Mytilus edulis: one gene and its partners. The protein of the gene in region 2 interacts with the protein of the main gene of each other region in a biochemical or structural test. Links are inferred from orthologs where the notes say so. Each region holds a gene or a part of one and is shown on either strand. Other genes may lie near its edges. The genes, in order: endoplasmic reticulum junction formation protein lunapark-B-like, kelch-like protein 12, programmed cell death protein 6-like and protein transport protein Sec31A-like.

Region 1 (7,004 bases), on a different chromosome or scaffold from region 2:
GAAACTACAGACGAGAAACCATTGTAACTACAGATTAGAAACAATTGTAACTACAGATGAGAAACAATTGAAACTACAGATAAAAACAATTGAAACTACAGATGAGAAACAATTGAAACTACAGATAAAAACAATTGAAACTACAGATGAGAACCAATTGTAACTACCGATGAGAAACAATCAGAAACAATTGAAACTACAAACGAGAAACAATTATAACTACAGATGAGAAACAATTGAAACTACAGACGAGAAACAATTGTAACTACAGATGAGAAACAATTGTAACTACAGATGAGAAACAATTGAAACTACAGATGAGAAACAATTGAAACTACAAACGAGAAACAATTGTAACTTCAGATGAGAAACAATTGAAACTACAGACGAGAAACAATTGTAACTACAGATGAGAAACAGAAACAATTGTAACAACAGATGAGAAACAATTGTAACTACAGATGAGAAACAATTGAAACAACAGACGAGAAACAATTGTAACAACAGATGAGAAACAATTGTAACTACAGATGAGAAAAAATTGAAACTACAGACGAGAAACAATTGAAACTACAAGCGAGAAACAATTGAAACAACAGATTAGAAACAATTGAAACTACTGACGAGAAACAATTGAAACTACAGACGAGAAACAATTGAAACTGCAGACGAGAAACAATTAATACTACAGATGAGAAACAGAAACAATTGTAACAACAGATGATAAACAGAAATAATTGAAACTACAGACGAGAATCTGATGTAACAACAGATATAAAACTAATGAAACAACAGGGGAGAAATAAATCAAACAGATGAGAAACTGGTGTAACAAATTAACAACAGACGTAAAACAAATAAAACAACATATGACAAACTAATGTAACAACAGATGACACACTGATGTAACCACAAATAACACACTGACGTTACAACAGATGACAAACTGAAGTAACAACAGATGACACACTGACGTAACAACAGATGACACACTGATGTTACAACAGATGAAACACTGATGTTACAACAGATGACACACTGATGTTACAACAGATGACACACTGATGTTACAACAGATGACACACTGATGTAACACAACATATGGAAAACACATCAAATAAGAAATTGATGAAACATACGAAACAACAGATGCGAAATAAACGAAACTGTAGATGCAAACTGATAAAACAGCAAATGAATGATGTAACAATGGGTTTAAACCTTATGAAATAATAGATGAGAACTGATGGAACAACAGATGAGAAACTTAATAAACAACAGATAAGAAAATGATTTAAAAACATATTTTAAAACAAAGAAAACAGCAGATGGGAAACAGATACCGTATAACAACATTTACAGTCACAAGACAACAAATGTTTTATTAAAACGTTGTATGGCTCTGTTAATCAGGACTCGAAGACCACTGTTATTTTTTTCTTGATATTTTTTGACGACTTAGACATTTTCTGTACACGGATTATGGGCAATGATAGACTACAAAATGGCACTTTGTGTCGTTTATGTGCAATGACAAATAACTTTTCAGGCTTTTAGATTTTTTAGAAAATGTTTTGCCACAGTCACCCCGTACTGTGACCTTCAACCCAGTCTGATTAAAACATGGGTTTCTGATTTAGTTATACTCATATGGAGTGTAACGAAATCAGAGGTATGTGTTGTAAATGGGAGTATAGCGGAATCAGAGTTCTGTGTTTTAGATAGGAGTATAGCGGAATCAGAGTTCTGTGTTTTAGATAGGAGTATAGCGGAATCAGAGTTCTGTGTTTTAGACAGTAGAGCGGAATCAGAGTTCTGTGTTTTAATTAGACTGACCTTAGACCTTAAGTTTGCTGTACATTGACCTTGTGTACCATATGTCAAGCTTTTACCAAAATTAATTGTTAAAGGCTATAGAAGGAGACGAAGCCTTTTGATTTTATGTTCGATATTTATAAGGTCAGTTTCACACAAGGTATTGATTGACTAAAAGTTTGGTTTCCAGTTGTACATTTGTAACCCTTAAGCCTACATCCAACTTTTAGCATACTTGGTTTGTTAATGACTTGTGGGAAGGAAACGACTCCTATTGACTTTTTGTTACACTAATATTTCTGCTAAAATTTGCTATCCAGATATTATCTTTAAAATCATAATTATGAGAAACATTTTCTAAATTTGATTAGATAATGCTCCATGAGATGATAACAACTCCTCTCGATTTTGAGGCCGCAATTGATACACTAAAATTGAGCCGCAAATTTGGTTTACAAATGGTATTTATTGATCGATTTGTCTAACCTTCACAAAACTTGATAAGCTTGAGCATATGCTCCAATGAGAGAAGTACCACTAGTAATTCATCGATTGGTTAATAGATCAATTATTTTAGTTTTAAAGAGAAACTAGCCACGAAAGAGATAAAAAAATAATACATTATGATTTTTTGTTCAATCATTAATGAAAGTGAAATAGTGAAATAATAAAAATACGCTTTTAGCAGCAAGTATGGTTCATTTTTTTCAAAATAAGCTAAGAAACATCGATTATGAATTTTTCACTTGCAAGTGAATAATTCCACTTCATGAAATCCGTATTCATGTGAACTTCAGTTTAACCCCTTCGCTAAAGATGGATTACACATGAATAATGCGTGTCAAATTATTAAAAGAAAGAATGTAAACACTGAAAGTGAAACAAAGGTAAATTATTTGATTAACTGATTCGTTCCACAAAAAAACGTTCTGATACAGGTAAAATCGAAAATTTATTATTTTTTCTCATAATAATATGAAATCAAACAGACATGAAAAAAGTCAATTGCACGATGTTGTTATCTTTTTATATCTATGTTAATGATTATACCATGCATGTAATGTGTCCGTTGGTAGTTTTAGGAGGTCATCTCGATAGTTAATTAGACGGCATTAATTTTAAGACTAAAATACACCCAACATGTTTATATTATCTAGTATATTGATTTATTAAAGAGTTATTATAATTTGAATTTCTGTTTCAAAGATCTTCATTTCAGAAACTACTAAAAGAACATAGTTTACAATAACGATTAGTATAGAAAAAACACCCAACTCTAGATAACGATATGATAGACAAAACAATAACACAAGTTGACAAGCATATACAAATTGAAAACAATAACAAACAATACTGTATCAACGAATGCTAGCAGTTACTGAAGGCAAGATTGAAGTACACTGTACAACATCATATTATTCTTATATTGGTGGCTGTACGTTGTAATTAAGTAGTATAGTTTCATGCAACAAGATCATATAAGTATGGCAATCATACTCATTTCTTAATACCTCCGAATATTGAAGTAAAATACCATTTATTAGTAAATTCCTGTATGTGTAATCTAGTACCTCAACTGAATTAATCTCTTTTCTTGTTGTTGTTGTAAAAAAAGAAAGATTTTTACCAATTTATGAATCAAACTGAATTCTTTATCCTGCTTTGCTTTATAGATATTAGATGCTGAGACTACTATAATACTATGTGTTATAGTAGTCTCAGTTATTTGTAATAATAGTGACATGACAGGTACAATGTATATGATACTAAATTGATATGTAAAACATCGAACCATTATTAAACCGAGAAAAAAGTTCCTTCAGTGAATTGCTGATGTATTCATAGATATGTGTAGTATATATGTCTCTATGATGCATGATAATTTGCCAATTCTATAATACCAAATATCCATGCATTAATCATGTCTACACTCACATGTCTGATATTAATTATCTGATTATATCACTCGATTATATCTGCAGGTAATATTATCTAAACGAAAGGGGAATAATCAACGCATTTGTCTTTTTTGTTTAAATTGTTTGTCCTGGCAGAAACAAATCTACACAGGTCCCGGTAAATCAAATGTAAGATACGACACTTTGGAAAGTGTAAACAAAACCACATGGCTAATTGTTATTCATTATCTCATATTAACCAATCAAAATGTTACAATTTGTCACTGCTTCCGTTTCCTCACAGAGGGCAGCACGTCAACACCACAAAATTGAAAACGGGAAATGTGCAGTGTGTTGGACCAATAATTTCGTATAGATAAATGACAACTTGAATAACACAGACATAAATTGTAATTAAGGACTTTACAATGGGTGTCCTTCTTTCCAGATTCAGAGTATGTAGTGTCGTCTTTTCCTTAAAATCAAAGAAAACTCTAGAAAATGAACAATCTGTCACAATTTTGTTACTCCTTTTTCATCTATTTTGAAATTTTAGCGAAATGATATCATCCAACATTACTTATTTAATGTGTGATGTTTTTCAGTTGGCCACATTTCAATACTTATATAGAATAACTATAGATTGATTCACTTTAGGGTATTCGGTGTTGGACAGAAAGATAAAAGGGGGGTTTATTGGTATTGGGCTAAGTATCAACAGATTAAGGAAGTTTTAGTGAAGTTTGGTGGGGTAGGTGTTGCTTAGTCTTTAGTTTTCTATGATTTTTCTTTTGTACTATTATTTGTCTGTTTTTATTTTTTAGCCATGGCGTTGTCAGTTTATTTTCGATCTATATGAGTTTGACTGTCCCTCTGGTATCTTTCGCCTCTCTTTTTTAACATGAATTTGAAACCAAATAATACTCTGCGCTACACAATGTTTGTATTGAAAATCTGCCAATATGCAGGTGGAAATCTCAATCTTAAACAGGAGTATGGTAACATTAGAGACACTGCTATATGTCTTGATTTTCACCTTTGTTTGAGCTACAGGTAATCTTTTTAAAAACTTTCTGCAACTAAATGTAGGACACTGAAGAACAAACGTTTTAGAATGTTTCTTGTGATAATTGTTGTCACATGTGTATCCAGCGAGTTTATACTGTTATATACATGTTTAGATACATGCATTTAATTTGTATTTAAAAGATTGGATTTTGAAAAAGTTGTCCTTACTGTGAGTCAAAAAATGGTTATTTCCACTGGTTATGATTTCACAGTCATCATTTAACAGATTATGAGCAAAGGCACCACTAATGGCACTATTAACTGTTCCTAGTTTTTCACACTGCAAAATATAATTTGAGTATTAGACAGTTTACTCCCAAGGCCGTTTTCATGCTGCAGTATCTAGCCCTGTGCTATCAAACTTTTAGTATTGATCCTTTTGCCTTCAACATTAATATCCGTTGTCTGATCCCTTAGTTAAAAATAATCAAACATTCCTTCATTTTTCAGAATTAAGTCAAATGTCTGAGATCTTATATAAATCAAAGTGATGACACATTCCAAAACACAGGTCTAAGCTATTTCTGCTAACATTACTTTGAGATGGCATATAGTACATGTCTACTATAAAAAAAACATTAAAAGACTTGCACAAATAATGTCCAAAATGCTTTATATGTACATGTACTATGACATGTATGATATATAACCATATTATAGTAGAAATATTAACAATGAGCAGCAATTATTACATACATCATTGTACATAGAAAACAATAAGGTTAGATACAAGTTTGCAGGATCAAAATGAAGATTATTTGAAGAAGGGGTGGATAGTTAGTATTTAGATACTTTAAAGATGCATATTATTTGGGCATATTATTTGGGTACAAGACTAAACTGTTTTTTTTTTTCTTGTAGAAGAAGAAATCTACCATTGAGATATTAGATGATATTGACAAGGTAAATATTATGTCTACTACATGTATGAACATAACTGTCATATCGATTCTTACTGATGGAAGATGAAACTGTCAAAATTGCTATGTGATTTTATTATTATTGTCTCGCCATACAAATGACCAATATCTTTCATGTCTTTAGACACATGCAAAAGTGAAGATGTTCAAGAACTTTATATTACTTAAATAAAGCTTATTGGGTATTCATGCATCAATAAATTAGAAAGCAACCTTGCAATAGAGTAAAACCCCAAAAGTGGTCTGTGTATGAAGTGTTTATTTTATGAGGTTTATTTAAAGCATTTACATGTATATCTAATCAAAGAATTCAAATAGAGAAAAATATTAATCGAGTGACCGAACAACACATTCACGAATGCATGTAATGTTTATGATATTTATACATGATATAAGAACATACAGCCATACACATATTTTTAAATTGTATTATAAAAATTACTAAAATTAAGAAATGATTTCCCATTGACATGATTGAAAATTCTTCTGTGGTTTTTATGGTGAATCCTACGGTTTTGTTGAATGTGTAAGAAATTGCTTTGTTTCTGCACATAATTCTTTTAAACTTGCTTGGATCAATATTTAATTTTAATGTTGTAAATTCATTACAGCAAATTAGCAGTTTGCAGCAGTTTCGCCGACAGAACCAAGAGAGACAAAAGAAGTTTATTGGACGTTTGATACTGTATTCTATTTTGATGTATATTGGTGCAGCTCTGATTTTCTACTTCTACTACCTACCACCCACATGGACAAAAAGGCTGATATATTCATCACCTCTGCTAATATTTCCAATTTTGTAAGTATATGTTTAGAATAAGACGAAGTAACTCGTACATGTAGCTTCAAATTAACAAGAACTGTACATGTATGTAAATCAAATGAAGCTTTCAATGCGCAATAAAAATTGGAAACATTATTTGATTCTTAGCTTATTCAAACAGAAAGCTTAGAACTTTGTCTAGTGATTGGAGAAATTTTGATAATATTTTTTGATTTTTGTGATGAGGACTTGTTATTTAATATTAGGTATACATGCATTCAAATGTTGTTTTTTTGTTTTTTTTTATCAAAATGCTTTATATGTACATGTACTATGACATGCATGATATATAACCATATAGTATAAATATTAATAAAATTGAGAATGGAAATGGGGAATGTGTCAAAGAGACAACAACCCGACCAAATAAAAAACAACAGCAGAGGGTCACCAACAGGTCTTCAATGTAGCGATGAGCAGCAATTATTACATTATATGTTATTCAGGTCTCAGACAGGGTATACATGTATACTGTGACAT
Region 2 (7,707 bases):
CCAAATGTAAAACAATTAAAAAAGTGAAATCACAAAAAATACCGAACTCCGAGGAAAGTTCAAAACGGAAGGTCCCTACTGAGACTAATCAAATGGCAAAATCAGAAGCCCAAACCCGTCAAACTAATTGCCAACAGCTGTCATATTCCGGAATTGGTACATTCATTTTCTTAAGTAAAAAATATAGATTATTATAGCTACCTAACCTCTCACTTTTATCACCGTATAATCGCATAACATTCAACTATATTGACAACGATGTGTGAACAAAACAAACAGACATAACAACATTGAGCCTAGGTATAAATGTTTAAAATAGGGATGCAGCAGACAACATTGTGTTATTATCTTAATTAGTATAACAAAATCACTATACACACAAACAAATATGTAAACAAACATGTATCATTACACAATGACAGGAGCACATATCGAGAATATTACCAACAAAGCCAACAGAAGCCTTGGTTTCCTCTACCGAAACCTACACATCGGCTCTAAAGGCATCAAGGAGCATGCAATCTTACAAAACTCTAGTAAGGGCCTAACTAGAATACGCCACAACAGTATGGGACCCATATCATCAAAAGCATATCGACCAAATTGAACAAGTTCAAAGGAGGGATGCGCTATACGAACCCAAGCGCCACAAAAACAGATCAAGTGTCACGGACATGATTAACGAATTGGGTTGGAAAAGTCTCAAAGCACGACGTAGAGAGGCCGGTCTCGCAATGATGTATAAGATCATCAACGACAAAGTATCCATCCACAATGACATTTACCTCCAAAGACCAACTAGAATATTCAGACACGCACAAAAACATGCATACATGGTACAAACAGCAACCAAACACCCCAGGAAATTGTCTTTCTTTATGACCACCACTTATTAAAATTGAGAACGAAAATGGGGAATGTGTAAAAGAGACAACAACCCGACCATTTATCAACTAGTATGAAGGAGCAAACTGCCCTCTCGAGAGTAAACCTTCCCGGCTTAACATGTTTGGCCGGATGTCAGCCAGTGACGGGTGGGACGGAACTTTTTCTACATTGGCTAGAGGTATAGGGGAAGGGTTGATATCTCAAAAAGCATGTTTAACCCCGCCGCAATTTTGCGACTGTCCCAAGTCAGGAGCATCTGGCCTTTGTTAGTCTTGTATGATTTTTTATTTTAGTTTCTTGTGTATAATTCGGAGTTTATATATGACGTCCATTATCACTGAACTAGTATATATATTTGTTTAGGGGCCAGCTGAAGTACTCCTCCGGGTGCGGGAGTTTCTCGCTGCATTGAAGACCCATTGGTGGGCTTCGGCTGTTGTCTGTTCTATGGTCGGATTGATGTTCTTTTGGCACATTCCCCATTTCCATTCTCAATTTTATAAAAATTAGTTGAAAAATGCTTCTTAAACTCATCAGATTGATACAAATAGAAATTCATTCAACAAAAACACAGAGTGGACGTGCCAGGTATCAGAGACTTTACATCTCCGCAGGTACTCAGTATACATCCTTAGTCCAAATAATTATAACGTCTTGAAAGAATATGATATTTTTTTTTCTTTGACACCTAACATCGCAGGAAAGTGTCAAAGCAAAAATCAAAATAGCCTTGCAAGACGTCATAATTATTTGGACTTATACATCCCTACAACACTATCAACACTGAAAAAGACACTAAGTTACAAATGATAACATATCTGATTTAAAAGTACTGGCAGCCATTTTTAGCTCACCTGACGGTCAAAAGGGCCAATTAGTGAGCTTTTCTCATCACTTGGCGTCTGTCATTCGTCGTCGTCGTCGTCGTCGTCGTCGTCGTCCGTCGTCATTAACTTTTACAAAAATCTTCTCCTCTGAAACTACTGGGCCGACAAGTAAGATCCACAAATAAGTCAAAATGACCAAAATGGTATGGGAGTCTAAAATAAAAATGACAGAATTCGTTCATACTTTGCCAAAACGTAGTATCTATTGATATATGGTCAAAAATATGATAAAATTGATAGGTCACCGTGCATTTTATCAAGCTACAGGTTGTGACAAAATGACACATTGTGTATGGATTATACAGGAAAAACACAATGTTGTGATTAGAAACTAAACAAAAAGTGATAGAATTGTAAAATAAATTAGGAAAAGATAGCTTTCAGACAGTGCTTTGAGAATATTAAAAGAAAAGATAGGGTCACCGTACGTTTTTCCCGGCTAAAATACAAAATAGGAAAATTCCATGTCACTGAGATTCCTTCAGAAAATGCACTGTTTTAGAGTTGTCTCCCTCCCCTTAAAACGCCAATTTAAAAACATTTAAAAAAACAAAAATAATCGACACTTGTAAAAATATTAATATTTATAAGTTATATTCTTATGTATTGTAAATCTGTTGTTTTTTTTTACAATCCAAGATGGCGAAAGACACCCATACCACCTTACGGAGTTATTGCCCTTTATAGTCAACTTTTGACAATTTTTCGTAAATTTTTGTAATCTTTTACAACAATCTTCTCCTATGAAACTACAAAGACAAAAATTAAACTTGTCCACAATCATCATAAATGGGGTATCTTGTTTGAAAAATGTGTCCGATGACCTGGCAAGAGAACCAAGATGGCCGACATGTCTAAAATAGTACATACGGTAAAATGCAGCTTTTGGCTCAAATCTCTGAAACCAAAGCATCAAGATCTTTCTGCCTTGAAATTTTCAGACCAATCAGGCAATCTGTCGTTGGGTCGCTGCCCCTGAATTGGTAATTTTAAGAAAATTTTGCAACTTTTAGTTATTATCTTGAATATTATTATAGATAGAGATAAACTGTAAACAACAATAATGTACAGCAAAGTAAGACCTACAAATAAGTCAACATGATCAAAATGGTCAATTGATCCCTTAAGGAGTTATTGCCCTTTATTGTTAATTTTTAACAATTTTCGTAAATTATTGTAAATTTTTGTAATTTTTTACAAAATATTTTCAACTGTAACTTCTGGGCCAAGTTCATTATAGATAGAGATAATTGTAAGATACAAAGTAAGCAACAAGAATGTTCAGTATAAAATAAAATCTACAAACTCATCCCCATCACCAGGAACATATATATTAACGTTAGATTATATACTGTTCCCAGACATCACCAAAACACAATTTTGTCATGAATCCATCTGTGTCCTTTGTTTAATATGCACATATACCAAAGAGGGACGAAAGATACCAAAGGGACAGCCAAACCCATAAATCTAAAACAAAACGACAACGCCATGGCTAAAAATGAGAAAGACAAATTAAAAATAGCACACATGACACAACATAGAAAACTTAAGAATAAACAACACGAACCCCACCAAAAAACTAGGGGTGATATCAGGTGCTCCGGAAGGGTGAGCAGATCCTGCTCCACATGTGGCACCCGTCGTGTTGCTTATGTGATAACAAATTCGGTAAATAGTCTTAATTCGGTAGGTCACATTCATGAAAGGGAAGGGGATTTTAGTTACGACGTAAGGAACATATCCGATATGATTTGTGAAACGGTTATTCCATAACGGTCAACCAACTCGTGATGGCGTCAGTCAAATTTACGAAGGGATGATTTCAACTTTACCATTTGGAACTCTTGGTTTAATAGCTTCCTTGTGAGCAGCAACCCTCTATCAAGAAAATCATGATAGGAAATGCAAGCACGAGAATATTGTATCAATAAGGAGATATATACCCCGTATGCAGGTGCTGCTGAAATGTTGCTACTTAGAAATGGAAAGTTCACAATTGGAAAGCTGAAATCATCTCTTTTGTCGTAAAGTTTTGTTTTCAACCGACCCTCATTGTCAATTTCTAGATGTAAGTCAAGATATGAGGCCGACTTAACTGTATCTGTAGTATCCTTTATCTCTAGCTCGATGGGATGGATAGATGCGTTCCACATCATGACTGAGTCACCAAATTTTGAATTATTTAGTGAAAGAAGATCATCTCATGATATAGCGAAAAGTAGCGTTAAAGGATATTGCTAACTTCTTATATTTCTTCCTAAAAAGTTCCTGCATGAAGTCAGCCTCATAATAATAAAGAAATAAATCGGCAAGTAGAGAGGCACAGTTTGTTCCAATTGGAATGCCGACAGTCTGTTGAAAAACACGTCCTCCGAACGTAACAAATAAGTTGTCAATCAAGAAATCAAGCATCTTGATAATATCAGTTTCAGAGAATTTTTTCAGTTTAATGTTTAAATCAGAGTGATCCTTTACAACGGTAGGATTTATCCCTCCCTAAGACAAGATACTTGTATCTACGTTGGCCATTCTTTTTTACGAGCAAAGCAATACCAATTCTTCCAATTTGTCTCTTAGTTTGGAATGTGGAATACTAGTGTAAAGAGTAGAAAAGTCAAATGTTTTAAATTAATACTGTTACAAGATGAAACTCGGAGAGTTAGATTGTATGTACCATCTAAAAGATGTACAAAGGTGAGCGACATAGACTCTTTAGAGTCTCTCGTTTATATTCTTGTTATTCTTGATATGCGTGTTATGTTTTGTGTTTTTGGTTGCCCCCTGGATTTAATTTGGAAATGAAGTTTCAAATTATCAATAGGTTAATTTTTACATTTTGAAACAATTCGGAAACGAGATTTATCCAGAATTGGTTTTAAATTTAAACTTTTCTTGACTGGTTTACTTTTTTGCTATTCAATACAGAGACCAGATTTGGTTGCAGATTTTGCAGATTTTTCTTCTCATTTTTACCGATATATAATTCAACTGTTAAAAGATAAGACAAAGGTGTGACATTGGTGAAATTATGTGTTCGTAACCTGCTATTGTTCTCAATGTCCAGTTGAAAAAAAGAGAGGACAAGCGTGAAGAATGTCCAATAAATTTATGTTATCGGTTCTTCGTATCGTATAGTCAGAGACATATAATTGTATTATATGTCTCTTATCTGCATATAGTGTAGCCTCACTGAACACAAATTATTACGAACGATTTTTGAACTTTAATTATTTTTTTTCTTTGTAGAATACTTTTCTTGTGTGTACCATAGAATTAAAGATGTATGTATGAATGCATTTCATGTTAAATCATAACACACATAATTTTCTATTTACGTTGGGATACTTTGGTAAGATTTTCATGACCTGGTTTTAGGGGTGTAGCAAGCTCAAAATGGACGCAATTACGAACGGCACTATATTTATATATCTGGCAGAAAAAATCAATGACATAGACAATACAGTAGGCAAAGGAAACAGAACGTTGGGATTTATATGTAGAAACCTAAAAGGCTGTACAAAACCTGTAAAGGCAGCTGCGTATGTATCCATGGTAAGACCTGCAGTGGAATACGCAAGCACAATATGGGACCCAACCGCCCAAAATAAAATCAAGGCAATTGAACAGGTCCAGAAAAGAGCTGCACGATTTGTGAATAACAACTACACAGACCGAACACCTGCAAGGCTGTGTCACAAATATGGTTAAAAATCTTAAATGGGAAAGTCTAGAAGAACGGAGGAAAACAATTAGATTATGCATGCTATTTAAGATCCAGCATGATCTTATAGATATAGACCGTCACCAATATTTGACACCGAATGATAACCGGACCAGAGGTAAAAACCGCTTCTTCCAAGAAAGAACAAGTACAGACACTTACGGCCAATCTTTCTTCCCGAGGACAATCAGGGACTGGAACAACCTACCAACAACAGTTACAGCGACCAACACCATTGAGGGAATCAGAGCTGCCCTGAAGGCATGCTCTGAAAGGAAGTAGGAAAACCCAGTTGTAAATAATTTTAATTGTATATTTTTGCGAACGTTTTAAATGTATTTGTAAATATCCAAGAGAAAGCTTTCTGTGTTGCCCGACACTGCGTAAAGTTTTCGCGCGGAACCATGAATATTCAGTATTGAATCCGGTTCCTTACCTGGAAGAAGAAGAATGACAACGATCTAAATTTATGAAACATACATTAATCTTATCTTAAAAACATTTCCTAAGAAAATAAGAAGTGTACCTAATACCTAATATGGTATTTTACTTCAAATTCTTCAGCAGTAGTTGAAGACGAAATTGGTGACAAAAAATTTTCTTTGAAAAGGAAATAATTTGGATTTTTTGTTTTTATGCAATTTCTTTCGTCTAAAAAGCACTGAATTCTCTTTACAGTTATATTTTTTAGTGAACCTATGATTTTAATTTATATTTAACCTTTACTTTCGGAGTTCTCGTGACTTTTCAATAAAAATACTATTTTCTTATGACTACAATGTATGCTCAGGGTCACCTGAGTCTGAGAAAACGTTCATTTTTGGATTATTTGGGCAAGATAAAGGGTATCACACATATTAACAGATTCAGGAGATATTTTTCTATTTACATGCATATACAGTACGGGTAGGGACTTATTTTTATGGATGTCTTAATCCGTCTAGTCGGATATGAATAATCGGACATTTTTATGGTAGGTAGTATGTTCATTAAACAACAGATCCAGGTGTGAATGGTCCTTTCATCTTAATCCGTGTTGCTAAAATTACGGTTCACTGATTTCAGAATCAGATTACCTGTAATTTTAACCTCTCAGTCACAGGCACTTGTTTCTATCCATACGAAGGTCGACTATCCATATAAATAGAAGAAGGTGGCTAACGATTTTTTTTTTAGGTCACGACAGTCTCCGCTTGGGACGCTTTTTCTACCCTTCAACTTAATGCTAAAAATCCCTACCTTATATGAATCGATTCAGTGAATATTTTCCTTTAACACTAAACTAATTTCATAATCCCCACAGTGTTCCTCTTCACGGTAATCTACTCTCAATTCACTAAACCATGTCCAAAAGTTCAACTACCATCTTTCCAATGTATCTACTTCCGGTTGTGGGCAGAATGCTATCTTTTTAAAAACGAAATGATTCTGTAAAATTACCAGTTTATTATTTTCATTATCAATATATTTTTAAAGATGAAATTTCACCGAAATAAGTACATTTATTGTTGTTATTAAAAAAATCAGAAAGTCAGAAACTAATTTGAATGAATTCGATAATACTAGAGAATTCCGAATGTATATGGTAACTCTAAAGAATTTCATCGATCTTTTATTTTGGAGGTAAAAAACGTATCAGAATTAGGGGAAAGAAACTGAGTCAATGAAAACAAAATAAATTTACTGCGATGTCAACCGGAAGTAGATACATTGGAAAGATGGTAGTTGAACTTTTGGACATGGTTTAGTGAACTGAGAGTAGATTACCGTGAAGAGGAACACTGTGGGGATTATGAAATTAGTTTAGTGTTAAAGGAAAATATTCACTGAATCGATTCATATAAGGTAGGGATTTTTAGCATTAAGTTGAAGGGTAGAAAAAGCGTCCCAAGCGGAGACTGTCGTGACCTAAAAAAAATTTCGTTAGCCACCTTCTTCTATTTATATGGATAGTCGACCTTCGTATGGATAGAAACAAGTGCCTGTGCTCTCAGTCACTTTATTGATTATATTAGTTCGACATCGTATTTGACATAAAATATTTTTACAGGTGAAGTACTGGAGAAAACATTGTTTAATAAAAATAGCCAATTTTTGTTAATTATGGTTTTGATATTTCAACTGTTAATATTTATTTTCTTTGTTCCTAAAAATTATTTTTATTTTATGTTCCTTTTCGTTTGTTTTTTTTTTTGTATCTTTTTGTTA
Region 3 (6,837 bases), on a different chromosome or scaffold from region 2:
AGTTACGCCCCTGACTGTTAATAGATAATATCTTTAATACCAGACTAAAATCATAAGTACATTTTTTTTAGAGAAGACATCATTAGACTTTATTCTGAACTTAACTATATATACATGTATAATAAAATAAATATTATCTTATCATATCTTATATAGCTACTACATGTACTAGTTATATGTTGAATCCTTATGAAAGTGTACAAAATCTAGTAATTATCATTGCCAGAGTTAATGTAGAAATTGTCAGCATATATTCTATAAATTTTACATGAACCTTATTAAAAAAGAAATGTGGATTCAAAAAAATGTAACAGCAACCAAATAAAACAGACGTACTTCATACATTAATTGACTAAATTGAGAGTCTGAGTAATGTGGCGAAAGCTATAAGTCAAAATACAGCAGAATTTAATTGTAAGATTTTATAAACCTTTATAATAAATCTTAATAAAAACAGAAGCTAAGGTGAACTAGAAGAAGTTTTCTGAACCACTGTATTGTAATAGTCTGATATTATATTTGTAAATTTTCAAATACCATGAATACAGTATATATATATTGAAAAGTGATGTTTATTTTTCTTAATATTTTGAATATTTGAAACAAAAGGAATAATGAGGACCAAAAAAAACAAAAATGATAAAAATGGTCTAAAAATTAAAAAAATTAAAAAATAAAGCCCCCAATTCTTAAGTCTCTTATTTATACATGCTTTTTTGTGTGTTCCCTTGATAACTCTTCATATTGACAGTGAATACCTCTTTATTAGTGATATCAAACAATTAAGCTGTTCTATGGCTGCATTCTTTTCATGTTGACAAAGTTTTACATCCTGTTTGAGTTTAGTAATGGTATCCAGTAATGCTGTTGTGTTGTGTGGATTACCAGGAGAACTAAAAAGAGGCTCCACATGGATTCCTTTGGCCTGCATTATTTTCTTTTTGAAGTCCTTTGATAAAAATAAAATGATTGAATTACAAGCATTTTTCTTATATATATATGTACATGTAGAATAAAGCATTTATGCAAGTGAACCAACTTTCTTCAAAGCAGTTTGCAGTCTGCAGATAAAAATACAAGCATGCCATTAATGAGCTGTATCTACACTACTGAGCAAAAGTGCAATTAATTAAAAATAATTCATAAGATAAGAAGGTTATAAAATTTAATATATCTTGTATATTCATCACTTATGAGTCTTTTTACAGTACTTAAGGTGAGGTTTAATTTGTAAAGAGCTGGATGAAGATCTCTTTTTGTACTCACTTTATTAACTAGCTTTGACTTATCAGCATACACGTACATACAATTCAAACTGACTGATAGTTCGAGTTGAAAGATCATAAGTTTAAATATTAGGGATGGCAACGAGTACTCGAATACTTAGGTACTCGCTCGGAAGGCAGAGTACTCAAGTACAGTTTTAGTGCTTGGATACTCGTTTGTCTGTTATAAGTCTTGAGATATTTCTCTTCACATATCCACTCACTTTAGTTCCGTTGAACTACATGTATCCCCTTCGTAATACTAAATAAAATCAATTAACATTTCATAAATATGGTTATCCTGTTGCTACTGTTTGTTATAGTAGTACCAGCAACGTCCTGTGATTCCGAGGGAATGTTTTCATGTGCACTACTCGTATTAAAAAATAGAAAGTCAAACAGTCTTTGGTTTGAAGTTGTAAACCAAATCATATTTCTAAACAAGAAGAAAATCAATTTCACCTGCAGTGAACTCTACGCAACTGATTAGAGACATTTTTAACGGTATTTGTACACGAATCAACACTTTCAGGGATTTAAAATAATTAACTCATCACAAGCCGTAAAAACTCACCTTTGTTTGTTAATCAAGACTTCTATGCAAACATGATTGGTATGAGATGTACATTTGAATTAATTTTATTACTCTGTATTTGAAACTTAACTATAATTGTTTAATTTACAATTTAAAGATAAGCGAAAGTACAAGAGCGACATTCAAACCTAAAAGTCAAAAATAAACTGACAACGTCATGGCTAAAAAAAAAAGAAAATCAGACAAATGATAGTGCAAAAAAAAATAACAGAAAAAGCACAAGTTATAGTCCAATATTGTTGTTGATAAATTAATGGACAAGTGGTATTATAAAAAATACCAACTCCTCAGGAACAGATGAAGTGTTGTTGATTTGCAGTCATGAGGATAATAAAAATTAAATTCACTTTAAAAGTGTAATACCTCTAAATCATGGTACGTCACATCCAGTTGTATACTAAAATAGGTTAAAAAAAATATTCCCATGAATTTGACAGTTGTAGGTAATTAATCCTACATTTCATTGCACATGTAGTTGAACATTTTCTGTGTCATAAACATATGTCTTGGGTATTCAGGCACATAGCTCCCTATACGCTAACACGCAGTTGCGTGCACATCGATTTGGCATGTTAAAGGAAACACCTATGTTGTCACTTTTTTTTAATTGATGAAAATCATTAAAAAACGGCATTTGGTTTCAAAATAGAGATTATGACAAAATCGGACATTAACTTGTATCTTTAACAAGATTTGAATTTGTAATACTCAGTCTAAGACATGTAGTTTTTGAGCACATTTTACAGTGTACGGTTCATAAGTTCGGAATGAGATGTACGAATCGGCATTAGAAGTATCAGAACCCTTCAATATCATTAAAAATATGCTGAGGCGATGTGGTCGACAGACTACCAGAGCAAATCACCCTGCAATCACGCCAAAACAGTATTGGAAAGTCTCATTATTTTTTGCGTTCATAGACCATATAATAAGGGAACTGGAGAGTGGGATCGAGTCGCGTCTTATCAGAAAATCTGAATGTCTAAGGGACATAACTCAGCCAAGATTTTTTTTTATCTATACAAGTAAATAAAATTCACTTGTATAAGTATCCTACAAATTTACTTATATGTGTATATTTTTTTTACTTCTTCAAGTAAATAAAAATTACTTGAATAAGTTGTACCCCTGACTGCCTCCACTGTAATGATGAGAAAATAAGGATAGAACAAATAAAATAACAGGCACTTGTTTCTATCCATGGGAAGAAATATATGTCGATGCTCTTTCGATATTGAATCTTCCCATGCATAGGCGGATCCAGGGGAGGCCCCCCCTTTCGTGGGAAAATTTTGGTTGATTATATAGGGAATCACTGAAGCATGACTGGAGTAGGCCCCCTCTTAGGTCAGTCAGCGCCCCCCCCCCCCCCCCCCTATGAAAAGTTCTGGATCCTCCACTGCCATGGATAGAAACAAGTGCCTGTGGACAAAATGGTGGATAAGAAAAGGGTTTGGGGGAAAAGGGGGAGGGCTAACAAAATTGTCATGTCCTAAAGTACTTATGAATCTTGTTACACTGGCATATATAAAATGCATGTATAGCACTGTTGAAGGAAGACATGTAATGTAGGGTAATTTTGTTCAAGTAAAACTTCATAATCATTGCACAATTTTTTGAAAACTATTTCATCTTTAAATTTTACAAGGTGTGTATACCCTTAAAAACACAATTCTTGATGACCCCAAAATACACAGTCCAGACATCTTCGCGCGACAGTGAGAAATACGAGTACAGATAGTTCACAGTGAGAATCACATGTGACATGATAATTTTCCAAGGAAATGTAAGAAGTGCACTCCACGACTAATATTTGGAGTTCAACTCGTACCTTTTTCAAAAATTTAAGACATACGAATTACTCTTCTACATAGGTTCAAAATAAATGCTTTGTTTACTCTCTGATTTTTAGACTTTATCTGTTATGTTGTTCGTCCAGACAGTTCACATATTTCTACATAGATTAGACGCCATGTTGTTTACATCAGCGCTATGCATTCGGTATTCTCCAGGTTTTTAATTACAATGTGCGAAGATCTACAAAAGCTCGAAGTTTAATTATCGTAGTCAATAATGTGTTTACCAAAAGACAATATCAGCTTACTAAAAGGAAAAATAATTTAACACTGACCAAAATCAAATACGGAACAAGAAAAATCTGTAAAATATTTTGGGAATGGCTTATTACGGTCAACAACAGCAGCCTCCTGCAGGATACTATAACCAACCTGGTGCTCAACCTTCACAGAATGATCCTAATTTTCTATGGGGCGTCTTTCAAAGGTTATTTTAGATATTTATAACTGATAATTTTCAAATCAAACTATGCAGTGTCACAAATAATTTTTGAGTGACTCAACTTTTGTATTACGAAATATCTTCATTAAACTCAAACTTATTCATTTTCTTGAAAACGACAGGAATGTCTGAATGTCTGTTAAAACCGTGTTATATGTCTAGTCCTTTATTCTTTTGAGTTTTGTGGATTATTTGTCCATACACCTTATTGCTAATACCGGCTGACCCGGCCGCTTGAACTTTTGACGCATACAATAATCACTTTTCCATTGTGGCGTCTGATATTTGTTTTGTGACATCAAAATTTTACGGGAACCTGTGTGATATCCAGTAATGTCGGACAAATAGCGATAAGGTGTATAGTCACCTGGTCATAGAGTGTTTTTGACTGCCTTTTAGTCCAAGTAACTACATGTGTGACCATGATGACGTCTTCTATCAAGGAAGCACAAATTACTTAAGATTTCTGGCATAAGCTCTCAAGCGAGAGAACGATGTAAAGAATGGAAAAAAGTGATAACTAAATACAAAGTCAAGGAAAGGAAAGCTATATACAATGTAATGCATGCTACGGCCATTGTCAGTTAGATTGTAGTTGTCATAGTTGTAAAACAAATCCCATTAACATATTAAATGAATGATTATTTTATTTGTTTTAGAGTTGATAAAGACAAAAGTGGTCAAATTAGTGCTAATGAACTTAGCGGTGCTCTGTCCAATGGTAAGTGGTTGGTCTATGTCCAACCTTGTGATTGCACTAGCTGCCCTAATGTAGCCCAGTGAAGTCTGTTTCATAATTTGCAGTTAAACAGGTCTAAAAAAAGCTGTCAGAACTCATTCTCATATCTTGTTAATTATTCCCCCTGTCAAAATATATTTTTTGTTAAATGGATACAGTGATATGAATAAAAAATTCAATAAAAATCTTTTGAAAAGAAAAGTTGTAAACATTTTCTGATGGTTTTGTTCTCCAGTTCCTGAATTGGATATTTTAGATATTGTATAGACACATAAAAGTTTGTTACTTTGTGCATGTCAGTGTTTTCCCTAGACATGTTTTGAAGGATGGTGGGATTGGCTGAATGGATGGTGGGCATGAATTTTGAAGGATGGGGACTTGTATAGAGACTGAGTAATAAAGAATTTCAAGATTTGAAGGATGGGGGCCTAAATTAATGCATGGGGGTACGTACCACCATGCATAAACCCTCTAGGGAAAACACTGCATGTTCTATATTAGATCAGTTTTCTGAGAATTAGACCACTGACAGCTTTAGATATATTGTTAACTGCAAATTATGAATTTTTGCATGTAAAATGTACATGTACAGTTGTAGCTTTCCTATGTTTTTGGGCAGGTTTTTCATGGAAGTAAAACATCATTTTTCAAACAGCTGTGTTTTATTTGAAAAGATTTTTGTTGCACCAAATTTTACCAATATAGTGCTTACCAAAATTTTAGCTTGTTTATCGTTGATTTTTTTGAATGGAGACATATATATTTGCAATTTTTTCAAAATATTTTGCATGATTTTCACAGCTCTGTTTGAAACATTTGATTTTTTCCAAATGAATTTGCTTGTCATGCAAAATCTGTCCTGCTTCTGTACTAAGTAATGATAAACCTGGGTTTTTTAATAGGAAGATTGGTAAAGCTGGTTATTAAACATGTTAAATAGGATTTTTTTTATCCTTTTATTAGGATAGATAAAGACAGAAGTGGCTCAATATCAGGAAATGAGCTTCAACAAGCTCTCTCTAATGGTAAGCTCTGTGTGACAGGAAATATAAGGAAATGTGTATTATAAACATGATGAATTCATAGTCATTGTTCTTCAAATGTTCTTTAACATAAGCCTTTTTAAATTAGAATTGTTAGATGAATAATAAAATCATTTCTTTAAAAACATAATTACAATTGATCATCAATTCTTTAAATGATAATTTTCAACTTTTCATTTTTGACCAGGATTCAAAATTAACATAAATAAATCTAAGCAGATTGAATGCATCTTGTATGAGTTAACATGGTCAATAGCCACTATACTCATGCCACTCTATTTATATCTCTATTCATTAAATGATCATTTTGGCTTGTGGCTTTGCCTTTAGGCTTATTTTAGTACTATGGTCATGATAGTACATTTTTAATTCAAACTTAATTCCAATACTAAGCTTTTTTCCAAAATTTCTTTCAAAATCAAATTTTATTTTTCCTCATCAATTGGTAAATGTTTAGTTTTCTTGGTTTATGTTAAGTTTATGTGACAGTTGTAATAAAGCTTTATATTTAGGACTATCAACATAATATTGATGATTAGCAATTAAAGAAGGTGAGACTGTGTGCACTCTTGTTATTATGAATCTTATAATTTTCTCAAAGAACTACATGTGTTTTATTATTATATAAAAATGTTGTAGAATGAGCAAAACTAGAAACACATCTGATTCAAGTCTTAACAGACACATTTTTAAGAACTATTTCATCTTGTCAGAAAAGTCTAAAATATGAAAAGAACAACTAAACATGCTGATCCATTATGAGACAATTAATCTTTAAATTTCATTTTCATGGTGTGTTTCTATGTTGTTAATCAATGAGGATTAATGTACAGATTGTACATTTGATGGACATATTTATATTCTTATATTTCATTGTTAGGAGCAGACTCAAATTTT
Region 4 (6,878 bases), on a different chromosome or scaffold from region 2:
GTATAATGCATTTCTTAATAATTAGTGAACATTGTCTTTGGATAATAAAAATTGTTTATTGCCTTTTATGATATAGAGTGTATAATGCCACTGTGATTTGATTCCACTATGCTAACCATGCTTTTTCGCAATAACAATAACTTGCCCAAAATGATGAACTTCCAAAATAATGATTTATTTTTAAGAAGATCTTTGGTTTCATTAAAAAAAAGTTTCTTAGACTTCACTTTAAGACCTTGACATTTTTCTTTTTGATGACTTCAATATATTGACCGTTAAATGTATTTTAGTTTCTGAGTTGTTGGGTTGCTGCCTCACTGCTTTATACCCTGTCATTGCCTTGTATTCATGATTATACCTGAAAATTGTTAAAGTCTAATGCTTTGACAGCTCCGACATGCTTGTCTTGTTTGAATAATAATTTGTCCGATCCTTTGATCATGCTGGCTCCATCATAACAAAATAGGTTGCCATTATCAGCACCTGCTACAATCACTCCGGACGATCCATCAGACATTCCATGGGAACCCCATACTACTTTATGGAATCTATGATAAATAAATAATCATTTAAAAAACAGCTACTGGGGATTCATTATTATTCGTTGGATACCAATTTTCTTGGGTTCGTGTGTACATCTGAACCATGAATTCAAATGTTCAATGAATAACAAATATTCAATGTTTTTTTGTATGCACAGATAGGCAAAACCAGGAAAAATAAATATTCCTAAAAATGCATGTTTCGCTCAATCCACGAAAAATTGATACACACAAAAATAAATGAATCCACAGTATTTGACATCCAATTACTCTATACAACTTTATGGAACTTTATGATCAGGAAAAGGTTATCATCACTTAAAAAGATAATTCATTCTTAAATTTTGTTTGTTACCAGTAACCTTAAAGCTGAAGGTATAGGAAGTGTTTCACAAGTTGGTACTTATCCATGACTATGGCTGTTATGGATAATCACAATCTAATCAGCAAAAAGACAGCAATTAGAGGTTGTTTCCTTTTTTTCTTTTAATTTGTGTTTTATGTAGTTTTGACTTCATGACAGTTCATTGTTTTCACAGTTTCAAGGGACTTCTATTATCCGAAAAGATGTCATCTGAATTTCACATTTAAAAAAAATCTTGACTGTGGGCTGTAAATATTTTAAGGCAACACATATTTACCTATGTTCTGATGGTATACTGGCCACTAATGGCATATGGAGTGACGAATCTGACAAGTCCAAATGATAGATTTCTAAGGCTGCTGTAGTACTGCAATAAAAGTAGACATAAAATCATTGCTATCAAAGTGGCAAACTTTTCTTTGTACACTTAAGAGAAAAGTGTTAACAAACACACAATTTATTAAAAATGAGTAATTTTCATTCCAAACAATTGCACTTTCTGAAAAACTCAAAAAGCTGGAGTAAAATATATAACACTCTATTTGGTCAACTGAATTTGAAGCAGTGGATGCCAAATGCTGGCTCCTGTTCCTAAAGTTCTGATTCTTATCAAAAGACCTTTCAGTACAAAAGGTTTTCATGATTATTCATTTCCTACAGTAGCACACTTTACATGTAACACAACCTCAAATGTAGTTGAACTTATAACAGACATAAGTTAATGTGAGTATATATTACTGAGCATCATGTATTTGTAGATTATAGATATAAATTTATAGATGTGTAAAATAGAGATACATATAGACGTTGAAAACTTTTGTAATTTCACCAAGTGCTTTAAAATTTTCTTACTGAAAAGACATTTCAGGATTCTCACTAGAAGATTTTGTGTACTACAATATATGCTTCAATTTTTTTTAGGTACATTTTACTTTGAACATATTTGATCTAAACATCGAAAAACCAAAGATGACTGATGAACTAACTGAAGGATTGAGGTTAAAAAAAATAGCCGATTTCATATTTATTCATTTCTAAAAATGGGTCTAAATTGGTCTAATTATACAGATTAATACCTAAATGTTGCATCCAGCTGTTGTGCAGCTGTACCTGCAACAACATAAACTGGAAACTGCTTCTCTGGTGACCAAGCCACATTGGCTGTTTTGTCTATTTCTTTTACCCTCATGTTTTGGATCTGTAAATAAAAATTACATGTGTACAATATTAATGTTAATTTGTAAATATCTTTCCCAATAGACATTTACAAGTTTGTTGCATTTCCCTCAAAAACTTTTAGTTTTAGTGAATAATAGTGTGTTTAGGGGCATTGTCACTTTCCACGTTTAAAGAGTGGTTGAAAAAATATGATGCTACATCATAGAGAACGAATTATTCACCCAATCAAATTCTTATACTTGCTCATCAGCACTGAGCTAGGGTTCCGCAGCTATGCTGTCATTAACAGATAGTGGATTTACTGAAGTGAGTAATTTATAAATCATTCATTTAAATACAAAAATATAGCAAATTAGAAAATCTGTTATTTTGTAGTTTTATCAAAATTTCAAACATTACAGGTTTAGATCTACATGTAATTATTAGTAAAATTGAAAGAACTTCACTCTGTTACACTTAACAGGACTGTTACAGGAGATGTAGCTACACTTGGAACTACAAGGAATAAGGCCCTTTATAGCATGTTTAGAAAATCCTGGGATTGCTGCTGATTTTAAGTAAGCGTCACATGTGAAAGTCATATTATTGTGCCATGAAAACAGGAAATGAAGTACACTAGTCTAGCTGGACAAGGGAAATTACAAAAAAATGAGAATTGCTTACATACATATACAAAAATGATACCGGCGACTGTCAAATAACACATTTTTACCTGATTTTTCACCCAACAGTATTTGTCTGGGATGAGATAAAATCCTTGATCAGAAGGTAATTGTATGGAAGATTTATAGTTTATGCAAATCAATTGTTAAATAACACGTTTAAACGATGAAATTGACAGTTCCACGTCTGTCTGCATACCAACGTGGCAAAGGAAGAAACAATATCCCAGCATTCCATCTACTTCCGTCATCTGGAGATTGCGATGCAAATCTGTCTCAAAATATTTATAAAAAAAACAAAAACAAAAACAACACTAATTTTCTTATACCTTGCCAAAATGAAGATTTTACTATCTATTTTTCAAATAAATGATAAAATGTAAGGGTAGCCGCAATACTTTTCAAGCTACAATACGTGCAAAATTGCAAAAATGTCCATAGAGTGTTCACGAAAAAACACATTTCTATGCATAAAAAGAAATCTATCAGATAGAATTTTAAAATAAAATATGAGTAGATAGGTTTTATGATATCCTTCAAGAACAAAAAGTATGTTAACGAACTTGTTTTCTTGCTACAAGTAAAACAGTGACATTTCCCTATCATTCCAATAATTTATTTTACGAAAAGAGTCATCTCCCCTTAAATGTTCAAGTTGAAAAAATGACCCTAAACAACACAAGTATTTAGTATTTGTTTAAAAATTTTATATAATGCAATAAATCACTAATTTTTCTGTATACAAATGAACAGCCTTACTATTTATTTGCAAATCTGTCTCCAAATTTGCAAATTTAGACAAAGAACTAGACCGATTGTGTACTGCGACTGTACAAAGCAAGATGGCGGTATATCATGACTCTACCTGAAATCTTGTGAAATAGCAGTTGACTCTGGTTTTCCAAATTGAACAGTATTAATAGGCCTTTCATTATTCTAATTATTTATTGAACAATTTCAAGAAAGTGTTTTGCCTCTTCAAAGACAATAACAATCAAAACCAAGGAGTAAACAAAGACTCACAAAACCAAAGGACATCTACATCAACAGATATAAATAATAAATAAGAAACAACACGAACTCCACTAAAAACCGGGAGTGAAATCCGGTGCTCCGGAAGGGTAAGCATTTCCTGCACCGTATACGGCACCCGTCGTGTTATTTCTTTGTTCAGTTTGGTAATGATGATTGGAAGGTTATTATGACTGAGGAAGAATATCAGATATGATTTCTGACAAACTTTTGTCATAATGGCCAAATTGTGTACAATTGGAAAAAGTATGCGCACAAAAATACCGTGAACTCCGAGGAAAATTCAAAACGGAAAGTCCCTAATCATAGGCAAAATCAAAAGGTCAAACACATCAAACGAATGGATAACAACTGTCATATTCCTGACTAGGTACAGGCATTTTCTTATGAAGAAATCTTATGAAGAAAATGGTGGATTGAACCTGTTTTTTTTAGCTCTAAACCTCTCACTTGTACGACAGTCGCATCAAATTCCTTAATATTGACAACGATTGGTGAATAAAACAAGCAGACATAATTGGTTAAAAAGGTCAAATTTTAGGGAACAGCAGTCAATATTGTCTTATAATCTTAATCCCAAATAAAAACAAAATAACATGACTTACAGATGAATTTTAATCCTGAAAAATGTAAGAGTACAATCCTTTGGAGCCACATTGGAGGCGACATAGTGTGCGCTTAGTCAGCCGAGAGCTTCAAGACAGCTCCCCAAAACTGTCTAAAGACACTCTCTATCGTCAACTAAAAGTCAGAATTGGTATCTAGCCACGATATTTGAATATCTTAGACCTTAAACAAGTTATCTTTTTTTTATTTGTCTCATCTTGATAACTGCCTAGTCACCTGTCATATTTTTTTTGCAGTAAAAATAACACCACACATATAAGTCACTAAAAAGATCAAGAGACTGAGAGCATTGACATGTAGTGTGTTTATGAATATTATAATAGCTCATATATATAAAGATCATTTGCATATGCCAATACTTTTTTAGATTATGAACATAAAGATTGCATCATACTTACAACATTTCACAAATATTCGTTTAGATATAGAAATACAGCTGACCAACCCCAGACTTAAAAACAACAAGCTTTCAGTTTGTGACAAGAATTCGGTAATCGATACATATAGAAAGTAGAACACACAAAACCATGCACAGTGCAGCTGCTAACTAGATTACAACTAATTTCAAAAAAGAGGAAATAAGGAAAGTTGTACAGACGCAATCATGCCTGATTTGTTTGGCCGTTTTTGAATTATATCTGAATCACAGATGACAACGGATAGGTTCTACTTTTCGTTATTACAATTGTCACACATTATTTTGGTACTAAAATTTATATTTCAAACTGTCTAATTATATTGATTTCTATTATGTACATTTCGTATACAGCATGCATATTTAATTTATTCAATACTAAGAATGATCTCGAAAGTCGCTATGAATTTACATGTCCGAAATATTTGTTTACATCTGAAACATGTAAGATTGTAAATTTCTATTTGTCAATAGTCTTTTAAACTTTAAGCTAATACAAACATCTTACAAGTTCGTTATGCAACTTTTATACGGTCATATCAGATACACACATAATTTAATTCACCGATAGATTGATCACCTATCGTAATTCTCTTTGATAAACGTAATCAATCTCACGGCCGACACTCGGCTAACCGAGAGATTGGTCGGTTAATCTATATTGAGTATGCGGCTATATCGGCGGTTGGTCTGTTAATCGGGTTGGCTAAAGTCTGTTAATCAGGTGTTATCGAGAAAATCATTGAAAGTTCAGCATGTTTCATTGTATAGCTTTCTAAATATATTTTCATCATAAAAAGTATTCATGTCTAACAAAACAATTCAATGTACTGAATTCAGTGGTGTAATTATTATTTTTCTAGCTTCGATGTACGATCTATAAAATGAAAAGGCGGGTTACTCATCAATACATTTATACACATTTTACACACATAAAATGTACACAAAATGACACATTGGTTAAATTTACTTGCATTCAATATTTTGAATATCGAAAAAAGAAAGGTATTATGTTTGTTAACCATATAGATATCATTGTGTGAAAAATCTACACGAAAATCTGTATTTTGGTGACATAAATCAAAATTTATTTAAAACCTGGTCTGTTAATAGGTCGGATATATAAAACCCGGTCTGTTAATTGGTCTGTTAAGAGTTATGAAAGGCAATAAAAGTATAATTTTATTGTTATATGGGGTGTTATCGGATCAAATGAGTAGGCTCAAGACGAGCGGCTAAAGTATACGAAAACAACACATGAGCAATGAAACATAACATATCTATACGGAAACAACGCATGAAATTGAAAATTGATAAAAATGGTTTCAAAAAGTGTAATATTAAAGTATTATCATATACTTAGACTAAATAACATATGATTTTTACTGTATGATAATAGCATTAAATTAACGTAAATTCCATACTTTTTTGAATTGGTGCCATGCGGCTCTTGGGTTGATATTGAACCTAGGGCTGATAATACATGCATGCGATATGAAAAATGCTATGTAATAATCTGATAATATCAATTTCATCCGAGAATGGTCGCATATATAATGTTGATTCTGTTTAATTGTCATGAATGACACAAATTTGTCATCTACATTGGTAACCAGTATATAAATTAGAGATAAACGTCGTAATGTAACTAAACATCAGTGAGTAAAATATATTGGGATGACAAAATATGAAAAATAAAGAAAGAATAATGAGTAAGACAAATAAAATGTAAAAAAAAATGACATAACAATTTAAAGAATACAGAAATAAACAATACCCCCAATCCGGACCCTCATGGTATACACGAAAATCTGGATGGAAACTCAGAATATAGAATAATATATAAGGACAGTAGAGAGTGATACATTGCTAAAAACGAGAGAAAAATAATACTTGTTTAAAAATACACACATGAAACATCGATGGCTGTTGAAACAGTAACGGATTGCGATGTACTTAAATTGGTGACAAATTCTAGAAGTTTACGTGCGGACAACTATGGTGGCAGGTTAATGCAATTTTGCGTTTTAGCGCTTTAGCGTTTTCGCCTTACATAT

Evidence for each region.
Region 1: the proteins of kelch-like protein 12 (region 2) and endoplasmic reticulum junction formation protein lunapark-B-like form a complex in vitro, tested with the Homo sapiens proteins (2 studies listed by BioGRID, with this or other methods). The link is inferred for Mytilus edulis from reciprocal best matches to the Homo sapiens genes KLHL12 and LNPK.
Region 3: the proteins of kelch-like protein 12 (region 2) and programmed cell death protein 6-like form a complex in vitro, tested with the Homo sapiens proteins (2 studies listed by BioGRID). The link is inferred for Mytilus edulis from reciprocal best matches to the Homo sapiens genes KLHL12 and PDCD6.
Region 4: of the proteins of kelch-like protein 12 (region 2) and protein transport protein Sec31A-like, one has a biochemical effect on the other in vitro, tested with the Homo sapiens proteins (3 studies listed by BioGRID, with this or other methods). The link is inferred for Mytilus edulis from reciprocal best matches to the Homo sapiens genes KLHL12 and SEC31A.

Annotation. Positions count from the first base shown.
Region 1 is NC_092345.1:26,205,777-26,212,780, forward strand, and holds the start of endoplasmic reticulum junction formation protein lunapark-B-like, read left to right. Parts: upstream 1-3,993; 5' UTR 3,994-4,141; coding exon 4,142-4,168; intron 4,169-5,642; coding exon 5,643-5,684; intron 5,685-6,312; coding exon 6,313-6,500; intron 6,501-7,004. UniProt on the Homo sapiens protein: Endoplasmic reticulum (ER)-shaping membrane protein that plays a role in determining ER morphology. Involved in the stabilization of nascent three-way ER tubular junctions within the ER network.
Region 2 is NC_092344.1:86,997,588-87,005,294, forward strand, and holds the start of kelch-like protein 12, read left to right. Parts: upstream 1-4,681; 5' UTR 4,682-4,787; intron 4,788-7,707. UniProt on the Homo sapiens protein: Substrate-specific adapter of a BCR (BTB-CUL3-RBX1) E3 ubiquitin ligase complex that acts as a negative regulator of Wnt signaling pathway and ER-Golgi transport.
Region 3 is NC_092348.1:38,951,112-38,957,948, reverse strand, and holds the start of programmed cell death protein 6-like, read left to right. Parts: upstream 1-3,819; 5' UTR 3,820-4,036; coding exon 4,037-4,143; intron 4,144-4,817; coding exon of another isoform or gene 4,818-4,879; intron 4,880-5,860; coding exon 5,861-5,922; intron 5,923-6,837. Other genes in the region: uncharacterized protein, read right to left, coding at 759-949, 3,519-3,566. UniProt on the Homo sapiens protein: Calcium sensor that plays a key role in processes such as endoplasmic reticulum (ER)-Golgi vesicular transport, endosomal biogenesis or membrane repair.
Region 4 is NC_092352.1:38,682,255-38,689,132, forward strand, and holds the start of protein transport protein Sec31A-like, read right to left. Parts: upstream 3,008-6,878; 5' UTR 2,798-3,007; intron 2,105-2,797; 5' UTR 2,096-2,104; coding exon 1,983-2,095; intron 1,274-1,982; coding exon 1,184-1,273; intron 549-1,183; coding exon 359-548; intron 1-358. UniProt on the Homo sapiens protein: Component of the coat protein complex II (COPII) which promotes the formation of transport vesicles from the endoplasmic reticulum (ER).